Linked DNA regions of Nothobranchius furzeri. The protein of the gene in region 1 purifies or fractionates together with the protein of each later gene. This does not show direct contact. Links are inferred from orthologs where the notes say so. Each region holds a gene or a part of one and is shown on either strand. Other genes may lie near its edges. The genes, in order: wwc1 and amot.

Region 1 (10,752 bases):
CAACACAAGATCCTGGTTTCCTATACATACAACTGACTAACACATTCTTAGACTTTTCCATTTGTATTTCCACAGATACACACTCCATAATGTTATCCATAACTAATGTCATATCACCCACCAATCTACTTTGAAAGTTTTTATCAATATACAAAGCCACGCCCCCGCCTTTTTTGCAGTCTCTACTTGTGGAAAACATATTATATCCTTCATTTTGAAACATAGATATCCTCCCTTCCTGGAGCCATGTCTCAGAGATTGCTGTTACAATAAATTGATGATTTGATTGCTTCAAACATTGCATACTCTTCACAAAATTTGAATTTAGACTTCTACAATTGAAATGTATAACAGATAATTTACCTTTTATAGTGACATTGTGTTCAAACTGTCTTCAGTATAGTATTCACAATGATTATGTAATCTAGTGTAAAAATGGTTATGTGGATCAGTGTCATCCTGCATATCCTGCATGAACATGCATGAAGAGGATGATGTGGACAAAATACTCATTTGCCTAATAATTCTGCACTCCCTGCAGTGGATCTCTAAGGTCAGGCGACTCTTTGAAGGGTTATTTACAATTATAGAAGTGATCAGCAGACACAGTGATTTAGTTATCACTGATTCCGAGAGGGTTTCTCAATGCCAAGGAACCTTGCCTTGATGTCTTGGCCCCGCCCTGGTTGCCTAGGAGGTAGGTCATCGGGAGCCGCCAAGACGTGTTCCAATGTTCATGTTCTACCGAGGCGTGCGTTCTCTGTTAGCCGTTTAACTAGCTGAGCAAGGATATACGGGAGGTGTCTTGTAGCCTAGCCTTGGTCAACAATTCCCCAGAATACACCACGATAATTTCAAAAGGATGGATCAGAAGCTGGCAGCTACTTCGGGGACAATTTTCAAGTTTAAAAGCAAGTCAGCTAATTTAAAATGTTTTTTTCAGATCCAAAGAAGTTATCTATGGTTGGTTAGTTGCTTAGTAGTTGCAGCTTCGGTGGCTAGCGGGTAGTAACTCACTTATATTTTTAATTTAATTAACATGTACACAATTTAAAAAGTAAAAGGCTCGTTATATATTTATATTGAAACTAATACAGTGATCCCTCGCTACTTCGCGGTTCGTTTATCGTGGATTCACGACTTCGCGGATTTTTTCTTTGGAGCCTTATTCAAGGGAAATTCGCCGATTCGCGGTGTTTTTCTATGCGAAATATCAAGAAATTCCTGTTTTTTTTTTTCATCAATTTCATCATAAAATGCACTTTTTGTAATAAAACTATAAAAAAACAAGTAAAAATACAGTACTATGTAAAGGGAGGGTTTCAAAAGTCTGAATACTGAATACGTACCTGTTAAATAAATACTGTAAATATGGTGTCCCTACTTCGCGGATTTTCACCTATTGCGGCCAGGTCTGGAACGCATCTACCGCCATACACGAGGGATCACTGTACATATAAAATATAACATTATCTCCCGTGTCACGTGATGTTACGTCACCGCCGTGGAAGCCGCGGTCACTTGATGCAAGTCTGTTCCATTTTACCGTTTTCTTTGACCTAGGAAGGACAGTGTCCTCGTACGCAAAGCGCCTGGCCTCGCGAGGCCAGGCGTCTTGACATTGAGAAACACCCAGCGATGAGAAGGTCCTCCTCAGTATGATTCATCTGTTGGCTGATTAGTTTAAACATTCATTAGGATGCTTTGGTTTTCTCACCAGTTTTCGACCAGCACCAACAAACTGGCTGAGAAGGTTCGCCTGAGTCTGAAGTACGAGGAGGCCAAGAGGAGGTAACAACACTTTAACTCAGTCAGGAGATCCTGATTTAGCTGGGACGTCGTTGGTTTGTTTAGATAAACGTGTGTGTACCAGTAGAACTGCTTCAGATGTTCTGAAAGCCTCAGCTTCCTGTCTGTAAGTGGGAAGTCTGGACCGTGATCCAGCTGCTGCCAGAGCAGCTGTGGCTACGCTGTAGCTCATCATCACCAGCGTGTGGATGTGTTGCAAAGCACCTTGGGGGGTTGTAGAACCCTAGAAGGCGCTACGTGAATACAAGCCATGTATCATTTATAGTGAGCGGGAAGTCCTAAGTGGGGAAGTCTATGAAGCACAAGATGGATCTGAAACCGGCAACGAGTCCCGCAGATATCGGGCAGTTCCTCGGATACTGGACCGTGGAAAGTTCGTCCAAGAATCTGCTTGGAGAATGGAGCTAAAGTGACCCGGGTCCATCCAGAACCCTGATGTTTCAGACTCAATAGTTTGATCCCATGCTGGACTGGTGGAAGATGTGAGGCTGGAATATTTAGATCCTCTGGAACTTTCACATAAAATAATCTTTTCTGCCTTCACAGGACCCGTTTTCTTAAATGTTTGATCTGAAGTTGATCCGTTTGGTCTTCCCTTCTGCTGTGGAGCCAGCTATAAACCAGGGTGCTCAGCTTTAACCATAGCGTCCTCACCTTCTCCTTCCAGGATCGCCAACATTGAAGTTCAGATCGCCAGACTGGACAGCGAGGCGTGGCCGGGGCTGCTGGACCCGGAGCGGGACCGACTCATCCTCATCAACGAGAAGGAGGAGCTGCTGAAGGAGCTGCAGTACGTCAGCCCCCGGAAGCGCCTGGAGCCCAACGACGCCGAGAAGCTGGAGACGGAGAAGAAACGTCTGGAGAGAGACCTGCAGGCGGCCAGAGACAACCAGAGCAAAGCTCTGACCGAGAGGTGCTTCAGATCGGAGCTTTTGTCTACAGAAAGGTTTTTATGGGTTTAGCTGCAGGGGGATCAGAGAGCTGTGAGATGAATAACTCGGATCAGATCAGCTGGTGAGACCTCTGACCCTTGGATACTCCTGTCTCGTTTTCCTCCATCAGGTCTCCCTGTCCACACACACACACACACACACTCACACACACCCCTCTAACAGGACCGTTGTTGTTCGAGCTCCAGGTCAGACTTTACCTGAGCCCCGTCTCTCTTTGTGTCTCGTCTCCTGTTCCTGAAACCCGAGATGCCGCTAAGCCTCGACACAAGGACCTCTTGTAGCGCACACACACACACACACACACACACACACACACACACACACACACACACACACACACACACACACACACACACACACACACACACACACACACTGAGTCTGCAGCTCTGGAAATGCAACATTCTTTTCTTTTACCGAGTTTCAGAGAAGACGAGAAACCAGACGCAGTTAGCCCCCCCCCCCCCACACACACACACACACAACAGAAACTAACAGTTCGTCTTTGATAATTTCGCACCGTCCAGGTTTGTTCTGCTGCTTTTAGAAAACATTGAAGCTAATTATTCATGTCGGGTTGATAAACGATGGATTCTTCCTTGTTTTGGGTCAAATCTCTAAACCAGCTGGCCGTTTTCTTCCGTCCCTTTGAGTTTCTTTGTTATGTTGTTTTGTTTTTGTGTTCTTAATAATTCACAGACTAGCAAACTTTGTAGTTTTACTTTTTACTGACAGTTTCGGCTCTCACTGGCGCCTTCCTCGGAGTGGTGGTGATGTCACTTCCTTGCTGTTTCATCAATGGGCAGTCGCCCTCTACTTTCCACTTCCTGTTTGTCGATGACCATGTCCCATATGTGATCCACTCTCCTCCATCTCTGTCCACGTCTCCTTTAATCCGTCGTTGCTGACTTTGGCCAATATAGAAAAACTTGTATATATCGGTCTGCCTCTAGTTTTCTGGTTATTTTATTAAACTCCGCTCCCTTCTGTGATTTCAGGCTGCGGCTTCACTGTAAGAGGAACAAGCTGGTGAGAGAGCTGGAGGAGACGGTCCGCCTGGCCACGACGCTGCATACGCAGCTCAAGAGGTCCGTACTCGTCTCCACCAGGAAAGATGGAGTCAAACAACAGCAGCTTCTAAAGCGTAGTGCAGGAAGTTGGACTTTTAGCAGCACGAGCATCAGTCAGTCGGAAAGATTGGGTTGTGTTTGTGAGGAGGTTCTGACGCCTGCTGCTGCTCTGGGTTCGTTCGGCTCAGACGTTTTCTGAGGAAGTAAAAAGCCTGGATTGCTCGTGGGATTTGTGACGTACTGATGTGGTTCTGAGACTGTAGTTTCTTGACTAGTTCCATAAATGAAATGGATGAAAAAATAAACACAAGTAGATAAAAAGCATCATTTACTGGATGCTTGCTCAGATAAAGCTTTAACTGTTAAACCACCGCTTTTATCTTTAGTATCTGAATAACGGAGGCGTGTTTTTGTGTAAAAGTTGTCGATGGCTCGGTGAACAGCCTCTGTTCAGATAAATGGAGTTTAAATCCTTCAGGACTGATGTGCTAACGGCTAGTCTGTTCTCCAGCACTTCCTGTGTTGGTTGTGATGTCAGAGACATTAAGAGCGTCCTGCTGGACTCCATCCCTGGATGCACCGGAATGCTACAGAAGGTTGCCGGTGATATTCACGCTTGTGAGGAACCACAGAATTCCTCCTGAAAATCCCCGTAATGTCAAACGGATGATGTCGTAAATGTTTGCGAGGGAACGTCACATGACCTGACATGAGCTCGGGGATCGGACAGGTTTTGGCTGCTCCCAGACTAGCTGTTAGCTCATCGATCCTGTTCCTCGGAGCAGAGGCGGATCAGGAAACGACGGACGACTGGTTCGATAGGAAGTTGTTCCTTGTTTGTAAATCTGTAAAATTCCCTGACGAGATCTATTTCCTGTCTCCAGCCTTTCCGCCAGCACGCTCTCCTGTTCGTCCGGCAGCAGTCGTGGATCGCTGACCTCCAGCCGCTGTTCGCTGGCCACCACCTCCAGCATGGGCTCCACCTCCTCCCTCAGCTTCACCGACATCTACCTGGAGCAGCCTGAGCTGGCCGACCCAGACCTGCGGAGCAAGCTGGAAGGCCTCCTGCAGGACGGCGGTCAGGGAGGTTACCGGCCATCCAGCTCCATCACCACCATTCACGAGCACGAAGTGGAGACGGGCTGCAGCGGGAGGCAGGGGGGGGATGCTGGGGGTTCTGGTGTCGGAGCGGAGTCCTCCAGGATCCAGGCGCTCAGACCGTCAGAGACTCCTCGCTCCATGAGCTCGTTGTCCCCCCGATCGTCCTTGTCCTCCTTGTCCCCACCTTGCTCGCCGCTGGTTTTGGACACTAGCTTCCCGTCGGGGGACACGTTTTTGGGCCAGACAGAGCCCGGCAGTTTGGGTCTGGATCTGGAGCTCCGCAGCAGGCTGACAGAGCTGGAGCTGAACTCTGAGGAGCAGCGGAGAGAGGAGCACAGGGAGCTGGAGGAGAACCGGAACCACAACAACATGCTGGGAGAGGAGGGAAGAGGTGAGTTCAGCAGAACCGGGTCCAGATGGCATCCTCGGAGCTGTGATCTCCAGTGCTGCTGAGTTTAAAACGTAGTTTTGTACCTTTGATCAGAGTTCGGCCCACAACAACCTGCTGATCCCCTAAATTAGAACGTGGTTTTCATAAATTCTTTAAAGATCGCGTTGCCGCTGTCGCTCGTTCGTGCCGCTTCACGCTGTTGAACACACGAAAGATCTGACCGTACCTGACAACATGCCACCCAGCTCCTGGTGCAGTCTACAGTCACCTCCCGCCTCGACTACTGCAACGCCCTTCTAACGGGTCTTCCAGCCTGGACTGAGACCTCTTCAAATGGTCCAGAACGCAGCGGCGCGTCTGGCCAGCCTAAAAGAGCATGTCACCCCTCTGCCCATTGAACTCTTTTGGCTACAGTTAGCCGCACGCATCAACCTTCTGGGTCAGATACCAGATCCAATCTTTGATTTAAAAAAACAAACAAAAAAAAACAGAAAAAGTAAATTCAGGAAAGTAATGACAGACAAAACCACCGTAAAAGGCTGGAATGTTTAAAGATGAGATGTGATGGAGTTCTCAGATCCTTTTGCTTCTCTGGGTTCACAGGAGATTATAATTTATACGACGGAGATTAAATCCACCGACCTTTTATTTATTTATAAAACCTTACAGACGGTTCGGATCAGGAATCAGGAGCGGGTTCTCTAGGAATGTGGAACACCAGGAATCCTCCTTCCACTGGGGTTTGGGAGACCCGGGAATGATCTGTGGGATCATGAGAGTCGGGCTTTGAAGAGAGGACCGGTCCTCGGGTTCCTGTTGGATCTGCAGGTGAAAGGTGTAGGCGGTGTCTGGTTTCCTGCAGCCAGAACCCGACCCGGTACCAGGTTCTAATTATACATGCAGCACTTTCTCAGAGCGTTCCCTCTCCGTCGTCTCAGCTTCAGGCTTCTGTTCCTCTGCTTGGTGTCGGTGAGCCGCTCTCAGCTTTCAGGTTTAATCCGGATCTGTGATGTGTTCATTCTTACAGCGACCAAACAAAAACCAACAACTTTTATTAAATAATGAAAGGATTTCAGACTCGTCTACACCTTTGTTTGTTTCATCTGGATGAGGAAAAACATTTTTATTTCTGCTTGAAGTCCTTGGAAATGGTTGAATTTATATTTATTTGAAATGTTTTAAATTAGCATTTGTGCAGTTTGCACAAGAAGGTTCAATAATATGAGACAACGAGATCGCTCGACTCCCACGTCTTCACCTCCTCCTATTCTGCCTCCTTTCAGCTCCCCAGCCGCGAGGGGTGGGGCCAAAGAAGATGGGCGTGACCTCCGCTGTCTCTGACGAGTCGGTGGCCGGCGACAGCGGCGTTTACGAGCCGTCAGAGCGCAGGTCTGTCTGCTTTGATCTCCACAGAGTGGTTCTGGTTTGTCTTCTGTAAAGCGGCTCTAATGTTGAGGCTCTAATGAGGTTTTTATTGTGTTTTTAACACCAATAATTGCTTGAAAATAGAAGTGAAATCTGGTTTCAGCAGCTTCCTCAGTCATTGTTTGACCCCAGACCTCCACTGTCAGAACCTGACGTTCAACCTGTGAATCTTTTTGTTTTTATTGTCTCCTCCAGACCGGGCCTTCCTGCAGACCTCCTCCTGAGCTCCTACGAGGAGCGGCTGACCTCAGGCTGCTCTCAGGTGCAGCTCGGCTTCCGTTACGAGTCCAGAGACCAGCGTTTCACCGTCTATATTATGCAGCTGTCCAACTGCAGCGCCCTCTGCCTGCCAGCTGACCAGAAAATGTAGGAACCTACTTCTGTTAACTGGATTCTGGTCATCAGAGCTTTGATATAATCTGCTGCGATGTTTTGTTAAAGAACGTCGTGTGACGTAAATGTTGTTCCAGGTGAAGTTTTTAATCTTATGAACTCATTCCCATTAGGGGTGTGTATTGGTGAAAGTCTGGTGATACGATACAATATATCACGATATATCGCCATATCGATATTTTCTTACATCCCTAATTCACGTGGTGTTCTAGAAATTCTAGAAGATGTGTTTTGGTCTCAGGAATCTTCAAAAGCAACCTGGCTTCTTTATTTTCCTGAGGATGTTCTGCTCATCATCTGAGCCGTTTCACGAGTAAAGATGGAATGTGCCGAGCTTTATGGGCTCGACACACGGGAGGCGACATCGCCTCTCCTCCATTTTCAATGAGACGTGCGCGACAAAGCGATAATCGCGGGTCTCCCTCCTACTAAGCAAAACGCGAAAACCGTGCATGTGAACTTTTGCGCTTGTGCACGTGTCGTGCACAGGCGACCCAGCAACGCAATCCCAGAAATTTGAAATATTTTCAACTTTTCATTGCTGTCGCTCAGACGAGGACCAATGAACGGAGGTTTCATTCACTGACCAATGAGCAGACAGGATGCTCCGTACACCTCCGAGCAAACATGGAGGAGAAGTTGATACTTGCTGTGACGGATTTCCCAGAACTGTACAATATTTCTACCAAAGAATATAGAGAAGTTCCCAAAAGGGAAATTGTCGGTGCCAGAAAGAACACATTGGGATCGTACTTGAGGTCCCTCATTAAATGATGGTATTCTCCGTTTCTTTCTCTGGTTTGTAATATGGGACGAACCCATTCTCGAAGTTTTTTTTATATTGTAAAATCAGAAGTAAGATTTCACATAACTCTAGCGGCACCTTGTGACACATCATATCTACCACTTTTTTAACTCTGAACCACTTAAATAACCTTAATTCCCTCCAACCTGACACAGCCAATCAAAACAACGGATGATTCGATTTCGCCATGGAACAGAACGCGCCGACGGCTTTGCCGCTGCCGCGGGTCGCCTCCCGTGTGTCAGGTAATTAAAGCGACGAATTTCGCTGATCGAGGTTGTTTGTCGCCTCCCGTGTGTCGAGCTCATCAAACTGTAGTTTGTTGATGCGATGATGATTTAGAGGAACGAGAATATTTCAGCATTAATGTAGCTTTGAATCTGATCGCCAAACAGTCTCACAGCAGTACATCTTCAGGAGTGTCGTCAAACATCTCTGGCCCTTGTGACCTTCAGGGGGAAGGGATTTATGAGATAATAGGAGTGTGTATTAGCGAGAATCTGGCCGTACGATGTTAATCACAGTACAGGGGAGACGATATGATATATTGCAATACTAAAAGCAAGCATCATATTTGCTGTTCTTAACTCGTTCATTTTTTACTGTGTGGGCGTCGGACGAGCCCCCGCACCGTGAGAACAAACATCTCAGCTCTAAAGTTGATCTTCATCCGCATACGTCACACGTCACGTGATCAGGAAGCAGAACATCCATGTGTTAGGAGATCGTTTTGGGCCACTGTTGTAAAAAAAGTGAGGCGCGAACCGGAAAAGCTTCTGCCGACCACAATTCAACAACGGATTATGAAAGAACGGATAACGCTCGAAACGTGCGGATTCTTCCTGATGTAAGAGGTGAGTCTCCGCTTTGTTTTGGCGTTGACATCATCCTAGCGCGCACCGTTCAGTGACTCTTAAAAAAACAGTAAAAACAGTGAGAAATGCTGGCAGCGAATGAGTTAAGAGTGAATTTAATCAAGAACTCGACCCAGACGCTTCCAGACACGCCCAGTGTTATCGTGGTTCCTTCTGACAGAAATGGGTAAAAACTGCTGCCACCTAGCTGTTGGAGTTTGAGTTACATCTCACAAAATAAATACAGTAAATGTTTGCATGTAAATTCACAGTAAAAGAATCGATGCACCGCTTTCAAATATTGATTCAGTATCAGAACATGAAATATCGCAATACTTCAGCATATCGATATGTCCTTACATCCCCACAAGATGTTGTCCTGTAATAAACTCTCCATAAAGAGGACGTCTAGCCTTTTCTGAACCTGCTAGAGCTAAAACATCTGCTTTAGTTTGTTTCTGTGCTGTTTGCTTCGTAGCAAACGCTCCGGCTGGTCTGAAGCTAACAAACAAGCTGCAACGGGACGTTTAATGTTTGTCCTGCAGGTACGTCCGCCTGGCGGTGCTGCCCTCCGTCCAGGCCATGCGTTGCCTCTTCCGAACACGCAGCTCGCTGCCTCAGGAAGTCGTGGAGATCAACGAGGTGTTTGGCATGCAGATTTCCCACGGTGCGTTGCGGCAGAAGACGCTGAGGGTTGACGTCTGTGACGGCAGCACGTCGGGCCTCGAGGAGTGTCTGGTTAGTGTGATGATCCCGTTAGACGTGACGAGTTTAGACGGATGTAATAAAATTTGTTCTTCCTCCAGGCGGGGGCTCAGATCAGCCTGGCTGACATCAGCTGTTCGGAGGACAGGTGCACCAAGTGGTACAACCTACTGAGTCGCCTCTACATGCCTGAGATCAGCAACAAGGACAGAGGGAGCAGAGCAACGGGTGACTCTGATCAGGTACCGGTGGGGGGGACACTGACACCTGGTGGTTGGGTTGGAAAGGACACTCAGCAGCTAAACAACAAAACCCGCCATTTTTAAAGTTGCTCTTGTTAGTTTAATAATAAAAAACAATCCGCACTTAAATGTAGGTAAACGTCACCTGACTGATCATCACTTTAACACCTTATTGTAGATTTGCTGCTGAGTTCTGAGTAATGGACGAGATGTTTTGTTTCAGGCTGGTGTTGGTAGCAGAGAGGAGGACCGAGCTGGTGATGATTGGTGAGTTTTACCTCCTCTTTGGTTCTGCTGCTCCTTCTGTAGAAAGCCTCGTCCCTGGTTCACAGCTTCTGACCTGATGATAAATAAATGGGGTTTGGCTTTTAAATCTTCAGGTGCAGCGGTCATCTGAAGGCAGATGTACTTGATGAAGATGAGGGTGGAGATGGGGAGGAGCTTCAGGAGGAAGAAGATGAGTTCTACCCTGAGAGCAGCCAGTGGGAGACGGAGGAGGAGGAGGAGGTGACCAAACCCCCTCCAGCTGCAGCACCCATCACAGAGAAGGTAGAACTTTGTTTCTGCTGGTTGTGGATGAAGACGGATAGTTACGGATGCCAGTAGGTCTAAAGTCTTCATCGTCTCCTCCGTCCAGGTGAACAAGGAGACCAGTACGGATGGATTATCCTCGTCCCATCACTGCTTCGTGGTTCGACCCAAAGAGCGCCGCCCGGACGTCCACCAGCAGAACCCGTTCATGAGGGGCAACACCATCATTCGCTCCAAGACCTTTTCCCCTGGACCTCAGAGCCAGTACATCTGCAGGGTACCAGAACCGCTCCCATGGCAACAGAAAGAGGAACTTCTCATGTTTCTGATGGTTTTATTCTAAAAGCTGTTTTGATTTGCAGATTAATCGCAGCGACAGCGACAGCTCCACCCTCTCCAAGAGGTCTCCGTTTGTCAGGAATGCCTCAGAACGGCGAAGCATGCGCATGAAGAAGGTAGAGAGTTATTCCTGC
Region 2 (10,363 bases), about 27 Mb from region 1:
TGACGGGGAGATAAAACCCCACTTTTACCTTTTTGTCTCCTCGCCTCGCAGCGTCAGGGAAGCTCTCAGAGCAGCGGTGCCGTCCCGTCTGAGTACAACGCCACAGCCCTGATGGAGCATCTAAGGGAGAAGGAGGAACGGATTCTGGCTCTAGAGGCCGACATGACCAAGTGGGAGCAGAAGTACTTGGAGGAGAGCGTGATGAGGCAGTTTGCTCTGGATGCTGCTGCTTCTGTTGCTACTCAGAGGTGAGCGTTTCTCCAGTTAGGGGCGTTATGTTTATGTTTATGTATTTAGCAGACGCGTTTGTCCAAAGCGACTTACAAGTGATAATCGGCATGTTGCCCTTGAGGCTAACAACAACTTGACATCAGTCATGGAGAGGAGGGAACAAGGAGTGGACAGTAGAGAGGGGGGACGGGTGCAGGGAGGGTGCTAGTTTAGAAGATGCTCTCTGAAGAGCAGGGTCTTCAGGAGTTTCTTGAAAATTGAAAAGGAAGCCGCTGTTCTGGTAGTGCTTGGAAGGTCATTCCACATTTGTGGAACGATGCATGAGAAGAGTCTGGATTGTCCTGAGCGTGGTGTAGGCACTGCTAGCCGATGATCCTGTGATGACCGGAGCGGCCGGGCCGAGACGTAAGCCTTTGCAAGAGGATTCAGGTAGAGGGGAGCCGTACCATCTCGGACTTTGTATGCTAGTGTTAGCAATTTGAATTTGATGCGTGCTGCTAGCGGTAGCCAGTGGAGCTCAATGAACAGAGGGGTGACGTGTGCTCTTTTTGGCTGATTGAAGACCAGACGCGCCGCTGCGTTCTGGACCATTTGAAGAGGTCTCACAGTACAGCCTGGAAGACCAGTTAGAAGGGCATTGCAGTAGTCGAGGCGGGAGATGACAGTAGATTGCACCAGGAGCTGGGTGGCATGTTGTGTTAGGTATGGTCTGATCTTTCGTATGTTATACAGCGCAAAGCGGCATGAACGAGCAACAGAGGCAACATGATCTTTAAAGGTCAGGTGTTCATCAATCACAACACCCAGATTTCGAACTGCATTTGAAGGAGCCAGAGACAGGAAGTCATTCTGGATTGAGATATTGTGCTGTATGGATGGTTTCGCTGGGATGACAAGTAGTTCAGTTTTAGAGAGGTTGAGTTGAAGATGGTGGGATTTCATCCATTTTGATATGTCAGAGAGACAGTTTGATATTCGTGCAGAGACAGTGTGGTCGTCTGGTGGAAATGACCGATAGAGCTGGGTGTCGTCTGCATAGCTATACGTCTCACGCAGGAACATCTGGACTTGGGTCATTTAATGTCCAACATACTCGTTACCTTACCAACATGTGGTAAGTGTAGTCAGTTAGAGATTTTGTAATAGGAATCCTCTACGTGTTAGGCTGCACGCTTCCATTTAGCCCACAGCAGGTGAAAGATCGCATCTCATTACAAAATCTCAAATGAGCCAAAAATCCCCACTAGACTGAAACCGATTATAATATCCAAAAGCTGCTGAGTATGTTGTTGTAGTCCCACATCAATCGAATCTTCTGACCAGCGTCATAGGAACAGCACAGTCTGTGTAAGGCGGGAGGAATTTCACGTTGTTCTCAATGAAAATGTTACATTACCATGGTAACCCCACATGTAATACAAGTAATAATTTACACTTCTTGTGCCTGAACGGAATGTTTTGAGGAGTAAATTGTGCTGGTGAATGAATGAATGACATCTTCATTTCAGACATAAAAAATATTAATTATATTATTTATTATTTTATTATTATTATTAAATAATTAATAACAGATCTAATCAGGAAATGACAGGAAAATTATGATGTGCTCATTAAATCCTACCCCCCAGATGCCTCATCCAATAAAAACACCCATATAAATATTTGTATACTTAAGGTGTCCTCCATGTCACACATAACACTAACTCGCTCACCAGATCATGCAGAAATACGGCCCATCACATGTACTCCTGCATTAATGATTCTTTTAATAAAATATTTTAGTTGATTTATAATTACACAGCTTTTTAATTCCTCATCAGCCCTGTTCCACACATTTCCTCCACAGACTGAAATGCACATTATCCTCATTGGTGTACATGTGGACACAGTCCCCATGTCCCATGTGCAAAGACTATTTTCAAAGGTACAACAAGGCAGGAGACTCCTGGTCTATGTATATGGACTAGAGTGAGAGACATGGTAAAACTCACCTGATGACTGGAAGCCGCCGTTCTGTTGACGTGAACTTTGACCTTTGTTGTGCAGGGATGCTTCTGCAGCAGGAATAAACCACTCACCAAGCAGCAGCTACGACACGTCGCTGGAAGCTCGCATCCAGAAGGAGGAAGAGGAGATCCTCATGGCTAATCGTCGCTGCCTGGACATGGAGAGCAGGTTAGAGCCACATTCACTGTGTGCACTTCTGTCTTCATTCACATGTACATGACGTGCAGGCTCCCCTCACCCTGACCGCTGAGGCGTCGTCGCTCCTGAACTTTAACTGCAGGAGTGATGAGTCAAAGACTTTTGTGAAACACCACATAGCTCAGACTACTGATGGATGGACCACCAGAACCACAGAAGTTTTCCTAACTCGGACTCATGGTTACATTACCAGTGTTAACCAGCTGAGAGCATTGTCTGGAAACTGTTAACCGCAGCAGAGAAACCTCTCCTCTCTGATGGAAATGCAGAGAGAAGGGTCACATGGTGTCACTGTATAGCTGTAAAGGTTCCTGTTACCTTGGGTCGGGGTTAAGGTTGTTGCCTATTGCTGAACCTGTTAATTAAAGAAGCAGGTGGGATTAGTGCTGACTTGCACACTCAATTTCTCTCGATTAAGGGAGCTAAAGCTGTATTCTGTTCTTATATCCTCCAGGATAAAGAATCTCCATGCACAGATCATTGAGAAGGACGCCATGATCAAAGTTCTCCACCAGCGCTCCAGAAAAGAGCCCACCAAGTCAGATGCACCATCTGCAATGAGACCATCTAAGTCTCTGATGTCCATCTCTAACACTGGCTCTGGTGGGTCAGGGTTACTGTCTCACAGCCTTGGACTCAGCAGCTCCCCGATCACTGAAGAACGCAAAGACACAAGCTGGAAGGGCAGTCTGGGTACAGACCTGTCTGTTTTTTTTCTTTTTGTGCTGAGGATTAACTTCTTTGTAAATCAGACGTCAGAAACGTAAACAAACCCAGAACAAAGTACTCTGTTGTCATAGAGTACCACTACAGACATTCTGTGCTTCTGTTTTTACCTACTTTCAAACAAATCATTCCCAAACTAAACACTGGAACTCCTTTGTCATCAATATCCTAACTTCATGAAGGAGTACAGTGTTTCATAAAAATCACAATTGTTGCAAAAATAAGAAAGATGAGCATTTTTAGAAGTGCCTAAATACATGAAGCAGAAGATGTCCTTGCTTTTTGATGAGATCTTGTTTTCTTGGTTTTCCAGGGGTTCTTTTGGGTCCAGAGTCTCTGAGGACAGAGTCGATCTCATCTTCCCCTTCTCCCATACTGTCTTCCACCTCGATGATCACAGGCCACTCTAAGACTGGCAGTAGGGATAGCTGCACACAGACCGACAAGGGTCAATGCCAGGACACCAGCAAGCCCAACACTCCAGTCCTGCAGAGTATGACGCTGCCAGCCCGCCTGTCCAGCCCCAGCCCGGTTTACATCCCTGATCGCTTAGCAGGTCAGCTCACTCCATCGGAATTACACAGGATGCTACAAGGTGAAGAATGCCAAGCCACTTTACTCTCACCTTACAAAGCAAACTTTACCAAATTCGCTTTACTAAAAACAAAACGCACTTTACTAAAGTAAAAATTTCTAAACAAAACTTCTAAAATGAACTTTTCCTAAAATCACTTTACTAAAACAAAACATACTTTACTAAACAGGGTTGGGCACCGAGCATCGATTTGAACCGGGACCAACAGTTAGTTTTTCCTGGAATCGTTCAAAGTTTTATTTCGATTCCTAGTTTTGATTCCTAGAATGCCGACGGAAGAGGAATCCGCGGCCGATTTCAGTGAAAAATAAACGTGATCTGCAAATTGTGATCAACACTTTTCAGAGCTGATCACACCAGCTGTCTGTGTGCAGCACCGAGTCCCCCCCTCCCTCCAACCCAGATATAAACAAATGCGTCTGCCGAACTTTTACTCCGTGATGTAAACTTTAACTCCTGCAGCGTAGAGGAAACGTGTTAAAATACATCAACACGGTGGATTTAATAGAAGCTTTAAAGAACAAACTCTGGATGGTGTGAGGTGAGTTTGTCTCACGGCAGAAATAAAAATACACACGGAGCGTCAGCGTGCGTGTGTGTGTGTGTGTGTGCGTGTGTGCGTGCGTGTGCGTGTGCGTGTGCGTGTGTGTGTGTGAGCATCAGAAGGCTGAACAATAACCTGTAGAATAATTAAGGTCATCATGCTAGAGCAGCTTCTCTGTGGTGGACCACACCAGCTTCTGCCACAATAAATAATAATAATAATAATAATAATAAATCACACACAAAGTTGTGAAATTTCCTTTCTGAACTGTTTCTGTTGAGTTTTAATGTTTAAAATCTGTTAGATTGTTACTGACAGCAGCTACGTTTAAGTTTCACTTCCTGTTCTGACTGAACGCTGCTGCAGCATGGAGGTGTGGTTCTCAGTAGGGATGTCCCGATCGGGTTTTTTTGTCCTCGAGTCCGAGTCATCAGGAGGAGGTCTGAAAAAAGGCCTCGGAACCAAAAAGACAAATCTGACCTGTGTGTGAAACCAAATTCCGGGATCGAGCTGACGCTAATGTGTAAACGCCATTACACACATGTGCAAACAAACACACACACACACTACTTGTATAGAGAGAAGACCGATTCCCAGACTGACTTATTGTTCCAACCAAACTTTATAACCATTCAGCTAGTGGTTAGCATTTTGGTTGTACTCACTACTCTGGCTTCTCCATCAGGTGGTCTTAACATTTAAATATCGTCTGTTTAAAGAAGTAATCCGTCTGAAACCCCACTCCGGTACTGGCGGATGTTCAACAAGCAATCGGTGGACTGTCACATTCTGGCTGAGTTTTTTAGCACTCCTGAGGTTAAAATCCAACCATTTCTACCATCGAAACTCTTCTGGAGTTAGCGACACGTTTTACTGATCAGATGTTGGAGACTTGAGGCCTAGATACCAGCCCACTGTTGGGCTGTGTGTTTTATTTACTCCCTGGCCTACTGGATGGAGTTTTGTGTTTGATGCTGTTATTAGAACTTTACATTTAGGATGTTTATTTGTTTGTGTAGATGTACCTGCTTTTCACAGCAGCACGCTGGAGAGAAGGTTTCCTGTCCAGGCCCTGGTGCTGCCGCCAGCTCCTGCTTCAGCTCCACCACCACAACAGGAGGTGGACTCAGACGTGGTGGAGATCCTCATCTGAACTCAAGAAGAAAACAGCAATAAGTGATCAGATGGCAGCTTCATTCCAAATCAACGTGGTTCTGATTTGTCTTTATCCTCCACGTCTTAGACACCGATCCGCCCGGCGAGACTCCTCTGGTTTAGTTGTTTTTGCTGCATTTATTTAACATTTGCACCCTGATCGGGGACAAAAACGCAACCACCACAGTCCTGTTTCATCTCAGTTTTGTAGTTTGCAATAATGAAATAATACAGGTCATAACTTCTTATTTATTGGCTTTTTAGATGCTTTTTCCTTTAGTGCTTCAACAAAACTAGATCAATGGTACCGGGGTAGGGTCCCCACAATGATTCCTACAGATCCTGAGCACAGACCAGGCACCAGACGTCTTTCCACTCTGAAGCTTAAAGGGTAAATGTTTACAGCTTCTGTGTACCTCTTTTTTTCCTACGTAAACCTGACAGCGGGTACTGTTTATGTGAAATTCTTGGTACTTGCAGGACTCTGAAACTCTGCATGCTCATCAGCCCTGTGTACCGCCGTGATAGCAGAAATCTTAATCATCTAATCATTGCAGCTACATTAACCTCCTTCTGTTGGGTTGATATGGTGTTCATTAGAGCTGGAGTTTGGGAAACGGATACTAAACCTGACTTTGGTCATGTCTTTGTGCTCCATCTAACCTCTGGAAATACTGCAGACCTCCATACCCTTCCGTCTGCCACACAGTAACCCTAACCCAGCAGCAGCAATGTTACTTTGCAGAAACTTCCTTCAGCGTCTGAATCCAACTGCTTCTCCAAATCATGTGGCTTTGGTAAACAATCTGTAACGTGGAGGAATGTGTGTCACCTGCCACCTTCATGCTGGAGTTTTATTAATCTGCTCTTTGCTAACTCACTAACATCTGTTTATTCTCTTAGCTCATGTGTAATTTAATCAGATTGTTTATCAACACACTCAGTGTAACGGAAAAACCGTTTGATTTGATCAGAGAACAAAAGCCTCAGTTTGGTGACAGTGTTGTTAGTCTGGGTGCGTGTGTGTGAGAGGACAGCGAGCAGAAATGTTTTCATCAATCCAGAAATCCACGTTTGTGAAGCCTAAACCTCTGCAGACCTGGAGCATGCAGGGCTGAGTACGCCTCAGCGTTGGAGCTAGTAGACCGTCAGGTTGGACAGGATGACTCTGAGACCTGGGCTTCAGCCTATTTATGCAAATTACACTTTCTGTTTACTGTCTTGAGATCATTTCAGTTTTTTCAGCTCCATTTAAATTAGAAAAGTGGACGGAAAGCCATTCTTCACCTTACACCTGTATAAAAGACATTATCCTTTTAGCGGCTGCAGTACACAATAATGTAGCTAATGTATGTTTTTCATTGTTGTTGGATTTACTTTTTATTATCGCTGCACAATCAGCCACAAACCCAGCACAGCTCTTACTAAACAGTTTAGAGGATTTACCCCTAAAATCTCCACAGGGAGAAGGAAGGCCAGGCAGGAAGTGTAGCTACACGCCTAAACTCGGTTATCGGAGCAAAGAAATGTAGGTGTAGTACACCGAAGTTAAAATAAACCAATAACCGAAAAGCAAACTTGCACTACAGTAGCTGGTCCAGCAGGTGGAGCAAAGCAAAACACATAAAAATGAAGTTCTCCATCTGTACATGTGACTGCTCTGGAGATGAACACATGATGATCATGTGATGTCCAGAGCTCCATCAGCGGTAGAGTGACCCTTTGTTAGCGCATAACCAAACCCTGTTATGGTTTTATTCGTTTACAATAATGTATGTGTACTTCCTGTTACATTCTTAATGCCTTAAATAAAATAGCACTTTGAATCAACTCGGTTGTTTTTTAATGTGATCAATAAAGTTTAACATTATGTGAAACGTTTCTGTCTGCTCTCAGAGGTCTGACCCAGACATATGTCTCCAGACGAAGCACATTCTGCGGAAAGCCAACGTAACAAACATGTTGGCTAAACGACGTGTCGAAGGGCTACACCAGAGTAGACGAGGGTCAAAGCGGAGGTCACCAACACCACTATACAATAAAACGTATCTGAAGTTTGCTGAGATGTTTTTAATCACAAATGCATTAATATAGATCTAAAAACTACAATATTCTTTAAAAACAAATTATGTTTATTATACACAAGGGTTCGGTTTAATGCTGATCCATTCCAGTTCAAAGGCCAGTGTTGTACCAACCTGGTGGCCCTTCGTATAGCTCAGTACCCAGGAAGTGGCTCTCAGCTATACAAAGGTTGGTGACCGCTGGCCTAAAGCTTTGATCTGCTGCAGCAAACCAAACGTCCAGCTGATGGAATCCGAGTTCTCGTAGGAACATTTCCTAATTAAATTAAATAACAGCTGATCAGGGATTAAATGCTAAAGGGACGACCATCGCTGCTTTCCTGTCTCTTTAGGATAGAAGCACTGGTCCAGTCATTACACACCAGTACAATAAAGAGTTCATCTTTTATTTTTAAACTCTGGACAGTTGTGTTCCTGTTAATCTTTCTGAGCTGCATCACAATGATGATCCAGCATGTTCTCAAGGAACCTCTTAAATAATGGGTGAGTTTCTGTTTATCTGCTGACGCAGCAGAATGACCTTTGACCCTACTACAGTAGATCAGATGTTTTACCAACTCTAAAGGATCTCCGTAGATCTGGAGATGGACCGTTCTGCCTCTGCACGCCAGAATGGCTCCGTCTCTGGAGGTATTTTAATCTCCAGAAACATTTTTTATTCTCCGTTTCAGACGCCACCTGCTGTCGGACACTTCACTTTTTCATCCTCTCAGCCGTGTTTTTGTCTTGCTGCTCTGTAACAACACGGTTGTTCTGGTCACGTTCCATGTGTCATCTAAACCAGGGGTTCTCAAACTTTAGAGAACCAGGGACCCCTTACAGGGGTAAAAACACATAACACACGTTACTGGAGTATAAACCTTTAAAGAGCAAGTCACACCAAAATCAGCTTTTTTTGCTGATAACTGGTATAAATAAATGTATTATAGTGTTGTAGACTTGTGTAGTCATCATTTTGGTGCATTTTCTTAGACTCAAAATTCTGCCTAAACCCTTCAGCTCCAAAAAATTCTACACTAATTGACAACAGCAGTTTGAAATCTGTCTCCACCGATGGGTAAATCATCCCTTCCATGTTGTGGCCTGGTTCGCCATTTTTGTTGGGCCGTGTAATCCTCGTCTTTTCACTGGAAAATCTTTAGTTTAAACATAAAACTAGCTTTGTGATGAGGCGCCTCCTTAACTTAGCTGGTTCATTCCTTCATTTGCTGCTCTTGAAGACACATTTTGGTCCATCATCATGCATGTCGACACTAGACTCCAGATTACGGTACTTTAGTATTTCAGTGGGTTTTACTTTTGCATTACTTGATTAAGTGAACAGACTTAAAAATGTGTCTGCGCTAATTCATTCTTCAGAGGATGCATCTTCAGGCCCAATACGTGAGGACCTTCAGTTTATGGCTCGTGTACTTCTGGTGGCCCAAGGATCCTAGTTCGAGGAGGACCTCTCTGATCCACAACAGGTCATCAGGGACTGTCAGGCGCAAAAGGAAGTTTTCTAGGGTTGTGTTGGAGTTCTCTATTTCAACCCGACTCGAGCCCACAAGCTGGGCTGACTACTTTGAACAGCAGAGGGTGGGGACATGTGGCCATACATAAATGATAAAAATAAAGAATCCTGAATTCAGTTCCGACTACAAAAATAAAATGCTAAAACAATCCTGAGATGCGAGGTTCAGTCAGCGTTCAGGTACAGGAACAGTGTTCCTAAATGCATCACTACCCGCACATGGTTGCCCCCCACCTGACCTTGAAGCCTGCCATTGGTGATGTTATTTTGGGACATCTTCTGGTCATTTAGGGGTTGTGTTACAATCTTTGCTGAATTGCTTTGGAAAACTCGTTAAAAGTGTGATTTTTATTACAATTACACGGAGATAAAAACAGGAAAAAAAGCCCACTGAGAATAGAAACAAAGGTGTTCCCACAAGGGAGATGAAAGCCTGTAATCTATGGATCGGTCCCTAGCTCTCACAGTTGCTAGGACGACCAGAAGAACTTAATACAGTTGGCACTAGAACCCAGTACCAATCCTCTGCACCACACATCTGACAAGTGTTTAGGGACGTTTTATTATATTTATACCTTATGTTGCCAATACACAAGTGACTTTAGGCACGTTTGTTCAGTTACAGATGCGCAAAAAAATGCGCGCGCGCACACACACACACACACACACACACACACACACACACACACACACACACACACACACACACACACACACACACACACACTGTGCTGACATGAAAACAACAATCTGATGCTTTTTAAACGTTGCTCACTTTATTTCTTTTGAAAAAGCCGTTTCTAGAATATTTTGCACATTTTGCTGCTGTCTGCAGTGAAATGTACTAAATAGGTGAAACAATGCTAAAAGAAAGGTTGCAGAGAACTTAAACAAATGAAGAAACTAAAATCAAGTCATTAGAACTGACTAAACTTCAATTCAAGCATTTCCTGGTGGTCCCATCTACGGGGGCTACTTCTGATTGCTGTCTCCATTTCCTATAATCTCACACTTTTCAGCCCAGGAGGATTTGAAGATGTTGGCTCTGTAGTACTGCAACTCCTTTATACTCTCATGGATGTCCTCTAAGGCTCTGAAACATGAAAAAGGTTATATTAATACATACAAGTATTTGTAATTGTAGCATCCCCGGTTGAAGAGATGGTCTCTCAAACTGATGGTTCACAATCCTTTTATTAAAAAGCCGTGCGTGTGAACACACCGTAAGAGCTACCACATACAGAATAAAAGACTATTAGTAAATCAAACAGTGTGTTACCTTTAACCACTTGGACTTGTTTATTCATCAC

Evidence for each region.
Region 2: the proteins of wwc1 (region 1) and amot purify together in Homo sapiens (affinity purification with mass spectrometry; 3 studies listed by BioGRID and IntAct, with this or other methods). This does not show direct contact. The link is inferred for Nothobranchius furzeri from reciprocal best matches to the Homo sapiens genes WWC1 and AMOT.

Annotation. Positions count from the first base shown.
Region 1 is NC_091750.1:71,324,573-71,335,324, forward strand, and holds part of wwc1 (protein KIBRA), read left to right. Parts: intron 1-1,720; coding exon 1,721-1,791; intron 1,792-2,476; coding exon 2,477-2,722; intron 2,723-3,760; coding exon 3,761-3,850; intron 3,851-4,716; coding exon 4,717-5,324; intron 5,325-6,607; coding exon 6,608-6,713; intron 6,714-6,944; coding exon 6,945-7,115; intron 7,116-9,346; coding exon 9,347-9,539; intron 9,540-9,607; coding exon 9,608-9,748; intron 9,749-9,971; coding exon 9,972-10,015; intron 10,016-10,128; coding exon 10,129-10,297; intron 10,298-10,385; coding exon 10,386-10,556; intron 10,557-10,641; coding exon 10,642-10,734; intron 10,735-10,752. UniProt on the Homo sapiens protein: Regulator of the Hippo signaling pathway, also known as the Salvador-Warts-Hippo (SWH) pathway.
Region 2 is NC_091750.1:44,150,034-44,160,396, reverse strand, and holds the end of amot (angiomotin), read left to right. Parts: intron 1-51; coding exon 52-248; intron 249-2,277; coding exon 2,278-2,406; intron 2,407-2,890; coding exon 2,891-3,129; intron 3,130-3,475; coding exon 3,476-3,757; intron 3,758-5,320; coding exon 5,321-5,454; 3' UTR 5,455-7,286; downstream 7,287-10,363. Other genes in the region: smfn (small fragment nuclease), read right to left, coding at 10,026-10,146.